2 linked regions of the Rattus norvegicus genome follow. Each later gene encodes a partner of the first gene's protein in a complex. Links are inferred from orthologs where the notes say so. Each region holds a gene or a part of one and is shown in the gene's direction. Other genes may lie near its edges.

Region 1 (5,327 bases):
GCCTCCTGTCAGGATTAGGGAGGTCAGCAGTCCTAATTCCTTCTTCCCCTGCACTGAGGCCCCATGACCTTCTCACCCTGTACTCCCCCCAGTTCCCAATTCCCCAGGCCTCTGTGACCCCTTGAGCTTGGGTCTAGGTTTGGGGGAACAGTTCTGAGACCTTGATGTCCAAGGGAAAAGAACCTTACCTGACCAAGACGATGGTGGGTCCAGAGGATGCTGGCAACTACCGCTGTGAGCTGGACACCGTCAACGCTGGTCCCGCCACCATCATCTACTACCATGTCACAGGTCAGTCTGGGGGTTGGAAAAGAGACATTCAGGATGGGAGAAGCTCTGGAGGTGTGGCCTCATCTGTGGGACCTGATTTACTTTGGGCATGGCCTTGTTGTTGGCTATATAACCAGGGTCTGTGCTGAGGGGTGTGGCTTCTCTTAGAAGGTCTGTTTCCCGGTCGTGGAGGTATGGGTTCCTGCCTAACCAGGTTGCCTTAGGCCTCAGTTGGACTTACTGCGGTACCCACGCTCTAGAGAGGATTTTGGGGTTGCTGTTTCCGGCCGCTGCCAGGACTACCCTCTGGCTTTCCTCTGTCAGTATTGCCCCCAAGGTCTGTAGAGGAAAAACCACCGCCGAACATCGTAACCCAGGAGGAGGAAGAGACCCCTGTCCAGGTGATTGTACCGACGCTGGAGCCAGAGCCGGAGCCAGAGCCCATACCTACAGTTACCCATCGTCCAGAAAAAAAATTGAAAAGCCGCCTCTTAATACTGTTGATCCTTGGCTTCGTGGTTCTTGTGGCCAGCGTCATTGCCTCGTGAGCTGTTCAGTGGGAAATTTGGAGGGAGGGTGGGCCTTAGATAAAGTGGGCTTACACGGAGGGAGGGAAGAAGCGTGGGTGCAGTGGGGCAAAGGCATGGACAACGAGATGGGCTTTTGAAAGGAGCATGGCTTGATAGAGGGGTTGGAGGCCTGGGTAAGAGCCTGGTGTGAGGACAGAGGCAGGCTTGATGGAGGGGAGGGGCTTGGTGGAGGGGAGGTGCTTGATGGCAGGAAGGGGCTTGATGGAGAGTGTAGTTTTGGATACGGAGAGATTTAATAGAAGGATGCAGACAAGGGCTTGGATGGATAGATGGACAGACAGACGAGGCTTCAGTGAAAGGGCAGGGCCTGGTGGAGGGAGTGATTTGGAGGGGGCTGGGCTTGGGTGGAGGGAGGGGCTTCCTACAATCTAGTGCTGGCACAGGACAGGAAGCTACTGGGCACCTTCCTTTGGGGCTCACTTAGGAAGACAAGGCTTAATAAACTGTGAAGTTAGGCTTGTGGGGGTTTAGGGAAGTGTGTACTTCACTCAACCCATGACCTCATGTGGTTCTGTGCACCTATGTCTGCCCCAGGGTACTTCACTTTAGAAAAACCAGAGTTAAATCGAAGAACTCAAATGTGGAAAACAAAACCTCTGCGGCAGAATTCAAGTCAGAGGCGGAATCACCCCAAAAGATGGGATCGAGGAAGCTCTCTCAGGCAGAGTTTCACACTGACTCTTCGGATAAGGTTGAGGAAGCAGATAACTAATAAAGATTTGATGTGTTGTCTCAGTATTTGACTTACTCTCAAGGCCTGGTCCTGACTTCTGGATGCACCTCCCGAAACCCCAACTGAGGGGGCTGTAGCTGGAACATGGAGCCTCCCTTTGTAGGCCATGAGTGGTGGGCCCAGAATCAAAGCACAGGCCAGCCCTGCCTCATCTCCTCCCCCAGGCCTGGTCTCCTCACAGGACGCCCCCTCCCCGCTCTTCCTGCCGGGTTTCCTCTTGCCTTTTCCTGTCCTCCACCCAGTGCTGGGAGCTTGGGCAGAGGAAAACACTTTACAGAGGGATTGGGACTTAACGGAGGCCAACGGCACCAGGGCCTCCGGGTGCTACAGGACCCGAAGCAGGGTAAGAGCCACAGCAATGACTCACCCATCCTGGGACCTAGGAGTTCATTGCTTTGCCCCTCTAACTCCCTGGGATTCAGGAACCAGAACTGAATCTCTCTTCCGTAGCTTCCCACCCCACCCCACCCACTGTGGCCTTAGGGCTTGGGGCCTTACCCTCTTTCCTTAGGGCCATGCTATCTGGTGAACGAAAGGAGGGCGGAAGCCCCCGCTTTGGGAAGCTCCATCTCCCTGTGGGCCTGTGGATCAATTCCCCAAGGAAACAGCTCGCCAAACTGGGGCGGCGCTGGCCTAGCGCTGCCTCTGTCAAGTAAGTGACCAACCTCTATGGTGTGCCTGCATCTGTCCCTATTTATCTCTGAGCCATGCCAGGGACCCTACAAAAGTGGGCAGTGATTTCTGTCCTAAATAGACAAGTGACGGGGGGTGGGGGTGGGGGGGTGGCAGTGGAACAAGGTGACAATGAGGCACAGAGGAGTGCATCAGGCTGGATGGGCACTGGGATGGAACACAGTAGATATCTCTCTGTTCACTTTATTTCTTACCAAGGGTTCTATCTTTATTATATTACTTATCTTACCTCCATTCTTCCCACCTCACACCACCATCTTGGTTTTCTGCCCCCACCCCTGTCTGTGTCCCTCTCTTTGGTTCTTTGTCCCTGACTCTTTGAGTTTCTGTCCCTCTCCCTCTCCCGGTTTTTCTGTGTCTTCGGCACATCTCTCGGGGTCACTTTTTCTCTGGGTGTCTCCCTGTGTGTGTGTGTCTGTCTCTCAGTGTGTGTCTCTGTCTCTGATTCTCTCTTCTGCGTCCTCTCTGCCCACTTCCTCCTCAGGTCCTCGTCCTCCGACACGGGGAGCCGCAGCAGCGAGCCCCTGCCGCCACCGCCGCCGCCGCACGTGGAGCTGCGGCGCGTTGGTGCGGTGAAGGCGGCGGGGGGCGCCTCGGGCAGCCGAGCCAAGCGCATCTCGCAGCTGTTTCGGGGCTCGGGGGCCGGCGGCGCCGGGGGTCCTGGCACGCCCGGGGGCGCGCAGCGCTGGGCCAGCGAGAAGAAGCTGCCTGAACTGGCGGCGGGTGTTGCTCCGGAGCCCCCGTTGCCCACGCGCGCCGCGGTGCCCCCGGGAGTGCTCAAGATCTTCGCGGCCGGGCTGGCGTCGGGCGCCAACTACAAGAGCGTGCTGGCTACGGAGCGATCTACCGCGCGCGAGCTGGTGGCGGAGGCGCTGGAGCGCTACGGGTTGACGGGCGGCCGCGGAGCGGGCGACAGCGGCTGCGTGGACGCCTACGCGCTTTGCGACGCTCTGGGCCGACCCGCCGCTGGCGTGGGCGGTGGCGAGTGGCGCGCGGAGCACCTGCGGGTGCTGGCCGACGCCGAGCGCCCCCTGCTGGTGCAGGACCTGTGGCGCGCGCGGCCGGGCTGGGCGCGGCGCTTTGAGCTGCGCGGCCGCGAGGAGGCCCGTCGGCTGGAGCAGGAGGCCTTCGGTGCTGCGGATGCAGACGGTCAGCCGGGGAAGGGCATAGAGACTTGGGGCGGGACCTAGGGGACAGTGGGATGACTGAGTCTTGGACAGGAGGTGCTGGGGGCGTGGCTTACAGAGAAGAGGCGGGGCCTGCAGTATAAAAGGCAGGGACCTGGGTGAAAGGTGCTCGGGTTCTAGGAGGTGCTGTTGGCGGGGGCTAGGGGAGGGACGGGCACAGAGTAGGAAGATTGGACTGGACGTGCTGGAGTGAGGTGTACACAGGGGAGGTGGAGCCAGCAGGACAAAACTGGTGGTGCTACTGTGGGGCGGGACTTACAGACGGGGTCTGATAAGGGCAATAGCATGGTTAAGGAGTATACCCTACATGATATATCTCTTATTACTTTACCTTTGGGGTATAGTTTATTTTATTTTAACCAAGACAGGGTTCTGCCGTGTAGCCCTTGAACCCTTGATTTTCTTACCCGAGCCTCTCAAGTGCTGTAATTATAGGTGCACCACCACGCCTACAACATTCTTTCAGTTTGAATCTCAACGAACTAGGTGAAGGTTCAATGGAATAACGTATATAAAGGGCGTAGCACAGGCTTAATAAAGAATAGGGAGGGGGAAAGAGTTGGTCCAGCCGATTAGAGCATTGGCCTACTCTTTCAGAGGACCCCGGTTTAGTTCTTAGCACCAACATGACAGCTCACAACCGTCCTTAACTCCAGTTCCAGGGGATCTGACATCTTCCCATAGACACACATTCAGGCTAAACACCAATGCACATAAAATTTTAAAAAATGTTTAAATGTTTTTTAAGTTTAAATGCACAAAAAAAAAAAAAACCCTGCATGTTGAAAGAATGAATTTCTAAACTGACAACTCCAAGTTGGAGTCGGGCAAAACAATGTCCAGAGTTAAGAGCCTTTATTTCTCCACAGGCACAAACGCCCCATCTTGGCGGACCCAGAAGAATAGGTCTCGGGCAGCATCTGGCGGGGCAGCTTTGGCCAGTCCTGGTCCAGGATCAGGATCCGGGACCCCCACTGGGTCCGGGGGCAAGGAGCGATCTGAAAATCTGTCGCTGCGTCGAAGTGTGTCTGAGCTGAGTCTACAGGGGCGGAGGCGGAGGCAGCAGGAACGCAGGCAGCAGGCACTTAGCATGGCCCCAGGGGCGGCTGATGCTCAGATGGTGCCAACGGACCCTGGAGACTTTGACCAGTTGACTCAGTGCCTCATTCAGGCACCCAGCAACCGTCCTTACTTCCTTCTGCTCCAGGGCTACCAGGATGCTCAGGTTAGCACCATCTCCCCTACTCATAGAGCCACACCAGAAGAAACACAACGCCAGGAACGCCTTGGGTTGAGGCCCCTCTCCAGTATAATGGCAGCTCCCACAGGGTTCCCAAGTAGGAAACAGCACGGTGGGAGCTGAGGTGGAGGGCAGATACAAAGATCCCATTTGAGGGGTATAGTGAATGTTTCCTTCCATTCAGAGTTGGAAGAAAACATGATCTTGGTCAAAGGCCAGTCCATTGTCAAAAGGACAGCCCTAGCAAACATCCGTTTCTTGAAGGAAAGTCTGTGTCCTGGGTCAGGGAAATCTTTGTTTGGTACCTAGATACTTGTTCTGGGAATGGCAGCTTTCTCGATTGGAGAAATAGGCTAATCCACTTATAAAGGTTCACATGGAAACCACCTGACCTCTTGTTTATGGAGGCAGTGAAGCCCGGATATATTTTCATGTCTGTAGTTTTGAGGATTGAACCCAAATCCTTGCACCAGCTAAGCAGGTGCTCCATGATGTGTTTATAAAAAGATAAAGAGAAGGGGTATATGTTTTGGTGGATGTGTGCCGAGGCATCCCTTCCCCCTGAGGGACCAGCCACACGACGGTATAATATAGAATAGAGTATATTTAGGGTA
Region 2 (4,781 bases), on another chromosome or scaffold:
GATATTAATAGAGCAGGCTGTGTGTGGCTACATTCACGGTAGACTTAACGGACTCTCCCTATAGTCCAGGCTGGCCTTGAACTTGGAGCAGGCCTCCTGCCTTCTCCCGAGTGCTGGGTCGATGGACACAGCCTTTTAAAGGAATATCTAGCCACATTTATCTCTGACCATATGTCTATATTATGTCTCTATTGAAAAAGGAACATAATGTTAAAGGAAAAGAGCCAATATGTTCAACTCTAAAACATTGATTTAGGGGTCCCTGCAGAATGAAGCATAATAGAGTCTGAAATCTATACATTTCAGAAAGATGGCTTTAATTCCCTATTACCTGTGGCATTGATTCTTAAGATTCTTTGATCTTGTATCAGAATTACGGTAGGAATTGCTACATAACTTTTGACCCAGTAAAGCTAGTGTAGGGCCTAAGACTTTGCATTTCTGACAAGTTTGTAGGTGATGTTTGGGTGGGAGCACTACACTTTAATGACCATAGTAGTACTGGACGTATGGATGTACACAAGAGGCAGAAGCAAGCAAATCTCTTTGATTTCAAGTTCAGGCTTAAGTAGCAAGTTCCAGGACACCAGAGCTTTATAGTGAGCCTGGGGGCATGAGGAGGACTAGTCATATACTTTACTGACACTAATATTGAAAGAGCTAAGAATCTTAGTGGTAGATGCTGTCATTTTCTACAATTTCATTAATCAGATATATTTTTTAAAATTAATCTCTTCTAAAAGCTTAAATCCTTTTTTTTTGCCCCCGGAGCTGGGGACTGAACCCAGGGCCTTGCGCTTGCTAGGCAAGCACTCTACCACTGAGCTAAATCCCCAACCCCCCCAAAAAAGCTTAAATTCTTATTTTCCTTATTTGAATTTTTTAGAAATTTATTTTTATTTTTTTAAATGGCCATTAGTGGTTTGCACCACTTTTCCTTGTACTGCTCTTTTAAAATTACGAACATTAGATATGTCCAAACTCAAGGCCATTAATAAGGGTTGATTTCTTTCTTTCTCTCTTTCTTTCTTTCTTTCTTTCTTTCTTCCTTTATTTTTACTAAGTTGATTTATTTCATCATAGCATATGGAAATGAGAGGCTACATCTAGGACCGTGAGAAGCTGAAGTTGCTACTTTAGGAGTCTTCTTAATTTCTCCTTTTTGTATTGTGCAATTCATTAAATGTGTGTCAGAAACCAAAAAACGTGAAGTTGGTTCACACCCTTAAACATTTTGAAGTGTTGAAATCTGCCAGCTTTTCATGGTGACACCCTTTGTACTTCCTGTTTAAAAAGTTACTTTGATTCCTGCGATGGGGTCTGTGTGGTATAACATTTCCCTCTTGTGTAAGCACTGTATAGCTTGGTCTTTATTGTCTGTAACTGTGTGTACCCCGTGACTGTCTCCGCAGGTCCCAATGATTCTGGTTGGTAACAAATGCGACCTGGAAGACGAAAGAGTTGTCGGGAAGGAACAAGGTCAGAACCTGGCAAGACAGTGGAGCAACTGCGCTTTCTTAGAGTCCTCCGCCAAGTCCAAGATAAATGTTAACGAGGTGCGTGCACGCGTGCTAGAATAACGTTTTATGCTCATCATTGAGGGACTCACTGTTATGAGAACCTTGGGTTAGTTCCCAGGACTGACATGGTGACTCATAACCATCTGGAAACCTTACTCCAGGGAATCCAAACACCCTCTTCTGATTCTTCTGGGAGCCTGCATGTACATCATGCACATAAATTCATGACACAAACACACACATAAATAAAAATAATAAATTTTTGCCACATGATGGTGGCACACACCTTTAATCCCAGCACTCAGGAGGCAGAGGCGGTTAGATCTCTGAGTTGGAGACCAGTCTGATCTACTATGTAAGTTCCAAGATAGCCAGGGCTATACAGAAAAACCCTGTTTCCAAAAATTAATTAATTAATTAAAGAAGCGTGTTGCAAAGAACTTCAAATTAATATGTGCTCCTATAGGCCAAAAAAAAATCTTGTCCAGCATATGCATATAAATGAGTAACAATATTTCAGTTTCTTTGTAATGCATATAAAGTGAAATTATTTTAAAGGGAAAGTTAGACAGAAAGCCAAATTTAGAAACCCATAATTTCATTGAGTATTTGAGGGAGTTTATGTAAAAGGCCAAACCTCAGAAAGATAGCATGGTTCTTGAAGTAGGTGAAGCCCTGTCGAGCAAAGGCACAGAGGCGAACAGAGCAGTATGAGACAGTAAGGGACTTCCTTTTTTGTAGGAGATCTAACTGAATTAAGTAGAATTCTGTGGCTTTTAAAGAACTTACTTGAAGGGAAACAGTTTTAATTTTCTTAAAACAAAAAACTTGGTACTTGTAAGAGCCCTGGCTTTATACTCATTCTGTAAAAGAGTTTGTGTTCTGAAGAGTTTTGGGTTTTGAGTTTGTTTTTCCTCTTTAAAACAGTAATAGTAATAGTAGTGATGGTAATAATAATAATAATAATAATAATAATAATAATAATAATAATAATAATGTGTTTGCAGATCTTTTATGACCTAGTGCGGCAAATTAACAGAAAAACCCCAGTGCCTGGGAAGGCCCGCAAAAAGTCATCATGTCAGCTGCTTTAATGTACTGAATGCATTGTAGCTCTGAGCCAGGTACGTTACATTACGTTCATCTCACTGAGTGAAGTTAATCCTTACAGGTAGATATCATGACTTGGTGTGGTAATCCTAGTAACTCATTCTATATTTCATTTACCTATCATCAGAAGGAAGGTGCTTTGCATAAGTGAATATCTTATGTTTGTTCAGTGCATGCTTATATCCCGGTGGGGCTCTGAAGCTGCTGATCAGAGCCAACTTCTCGTCCCTCTTAATTGCATTTAGATGATTGAGACATATAGAAGAGATCGACAAACTGTTTTAAGATGTGCACGGTGTGCCGACTAGGGCTTGTGGTCTCTGCTCACTCAGGAGGACGTCTGCAACAAGCCTTCCAGGCAAGAGCTCTCAGTATTCCCAGATTACAGTTGGGACGGTCAGGCTTTCCTTACTCAGGATGGTAAACAGTGCTGAGCCCTGCAGTTGGTGACACCGGCAGAGCCAGAATGTCAACAGGTTGCCCAGCGTCTGAGTCCATGCTCACTGCTGTGCTGCCGTGAGCTCTGAGGAGCACCAGCTGCTGTGAAATCAGAGCTTAGGGCAAGTCTGTCAGAGTTGGAAGCGTTGAGCTTTGAGGTGCAAGTCAGCAGTGCTGGAGGAAGGATCCCCAGCAGGGAGAACAAGGAGAAGCAAAGGGAGACTAAGCAGACACTTTATAGATTATACAAGCGGGTAATGAGACCTGGTGGTGGTGATGGCAGCAGTGGGGCACAGCTCTAATCCCACTCACTGAGCAGAGGGAGGCAGATCTGAGTTCCAGGACAGCCACAGAGAAACTGTCTCCAAAAAAAAAAAAAGGAAATGAAGGTTTTTTTGTTTGTTTGTTTGTTTGTTTTTCAGTTAATACTGCTATTGTCTGTTAGCCCTAATTCTTCTAGTAAGATGACTTGACCATAAATTTTAATGTAATTTTTTCCTTTTTTTTTTTTAAGATTGATTATTTCTGGGGGAGGGTGTGTGTGTGTATGTGTGTGTGTGTAAGTATTTTGCCTGCATGTATGTATGATTACCACGTGGCCCAACGTCCAGGGAGGCCAGAAGAGAGTATTGGACCCCCTGGACTTGGAGTTAAAGGCAGTAGTAAACTGCCTTGTAAGTGCTGAGAATGGGGCCTGAGTCCCGGGAAAGGCATCCAGTGCTCTTTACCATTGTGCTGTCTCTCGCTCCCAAGTTCTTTGGCTTTTTAGTCTTTGGAAAGTAATACAGAAATTTGCACAGAGCTTTTTGTTTGGTTGACTTGGTTTTTTCAAGACAGGGTTTCACTGTCCTGGAAACTTACTCTGTAGACCAGACTGGCCTTGAACTCCGATCCTCCTGCCCCTGCCTCCCTAAAGCTGGGATTAAAGGCAGGTGCCACCACACCTGACTTGTGCAGAGCTGTTTTTCCCCTTCTTTTTTTGGCCTAGAGTTTTCATTGGTCTGGCTTTTAGGACTACCATCTTTTTTGGAAAAAGATACAAAAATGTCTTTGCTGTCATTAAATATAAAGATTAAAAAAAGAACCTTTATCTTAGTGTTTCCTTTCATTCTTTATTGTACTGTTTCTGTTAATGTGTTTATTTTTTCCCCTTCCACAGGTCTGAAGAACTGTTGCCCAATTCAGCAGTGCCAGCATTCCAACTTTGTTAAACCTACCAACATCTTAAATGGACTTTCCCGTGGTGGTACCCTGTAAGAGGCGGACGAAAGCTACTCTATCAGTTTGCACATTCTAATCACTTTCCAGTATCACGAGAGGTTTTGACTTATATGATAGTTCTAGAGTATGCAGCTGGTAAAACCAGAGGCTACATCCAGTATTACTGCTAAGAGACATTCTTCATCCACCAATGTTGTACATGTATGAAAATGGTGTACTGTATACTTTAACACACCCATACTTTGTATTGGAGAGTACAATAATGTAAATCCTAAAAGCACCACTATTTTAGCATAATAAAAGAAAGTCCAAAGAGCTCCTATATAGACTACTCCAGATAACTTTGCTTCTTTGATACTTGTAGCTTACTGTAATTTTTTTTAAATTCAAGGTCATTATCATTGTATTATACAAAATAAGCGCTTTGATTAACACAGCTATATAGTTTTTTTAATTTTTCAAAAACCTGTGGAGACAGTGATCTTGTCTTTA

The links. Proteins that work in one complex are often made in the same cells at the same time.
Region 2: the proteins of Rasip1 (region 1) and Rap1b are in contact, whole or in part, in a crystal structure (PDB 5KHO), measured with the Homo sapiens proteins. The link is inferred for Rattus norvegicus from reciprocal best matches to the Homo sapiens genes RASIP1 and RAP1B. Residues at the interface, in NP_060275.2 of Homo sapiens: Val147, Lys149, Ala156, Ser157, Gly158, Ala159, Asn160, Tyr161, Lys162, Ser163, Val164, Leu165, Glu181, Arg182; in NP_001010942.1 of Homo sapiens: Val24, Gln25, Asp33, Pro34, Thr35, Ile36, Glu37, Asp38, Ser39, Tyr40, Arg41, Glu54, Leu56, Phe64.

What each region holds. Positions count from the first base shown.
Region 1 is NC_086019.1:105,231,760-105,237,086, forward strand, and holds the start of Rasip1 (ras-interacting protein 1), read left to right. Parts: upstream 1-1,839; 5' UTR 1,840-1,936; intron 1,937-2,104; 5' UTR 2,105-2,108; coding exon 2,109-2,245; intron 2,246-2,770; coding exon 2,771-3,435; intron 3,436-4,342; coding exon 4,343-4,698; intron 4,699-5,327. Other genes in the region: Izumo1 (izumo sperm-egg fusion protein 1 precursor), read left to right, coding at 138-291, 595-814, 1,395-1,572. UniProt on the Homo sapiens protein: Required for the proper formation of vascular structures that develop via both vasculogenesis and angiogenesis.
Region 2 is NC_086025.1:55,310,279-55,315,059, reverse strand, and holds part of Rap1b (ras-related protein Rap-1b precursor), read left to right. Parts: intron 1-1,412; coding exon 1,413-1,556; intron 1,557-2,527; coding exon 2,528-2,614; 3' UTR 2,615-2,644; intron 2,645-2,875; exon of another isoform or gene 2,876-2,988; intron 2,989-4,227; 3' UTR 4,228-4,781. UniProt on the Homo sapiens protein: GTP-binding protein that possesses intrinsic GTPase activity. Contributes to the polarizing activity of KRIT1 and CDH5 in the establishment and maintenance of correct endothelial cell polarity and vascular lumen.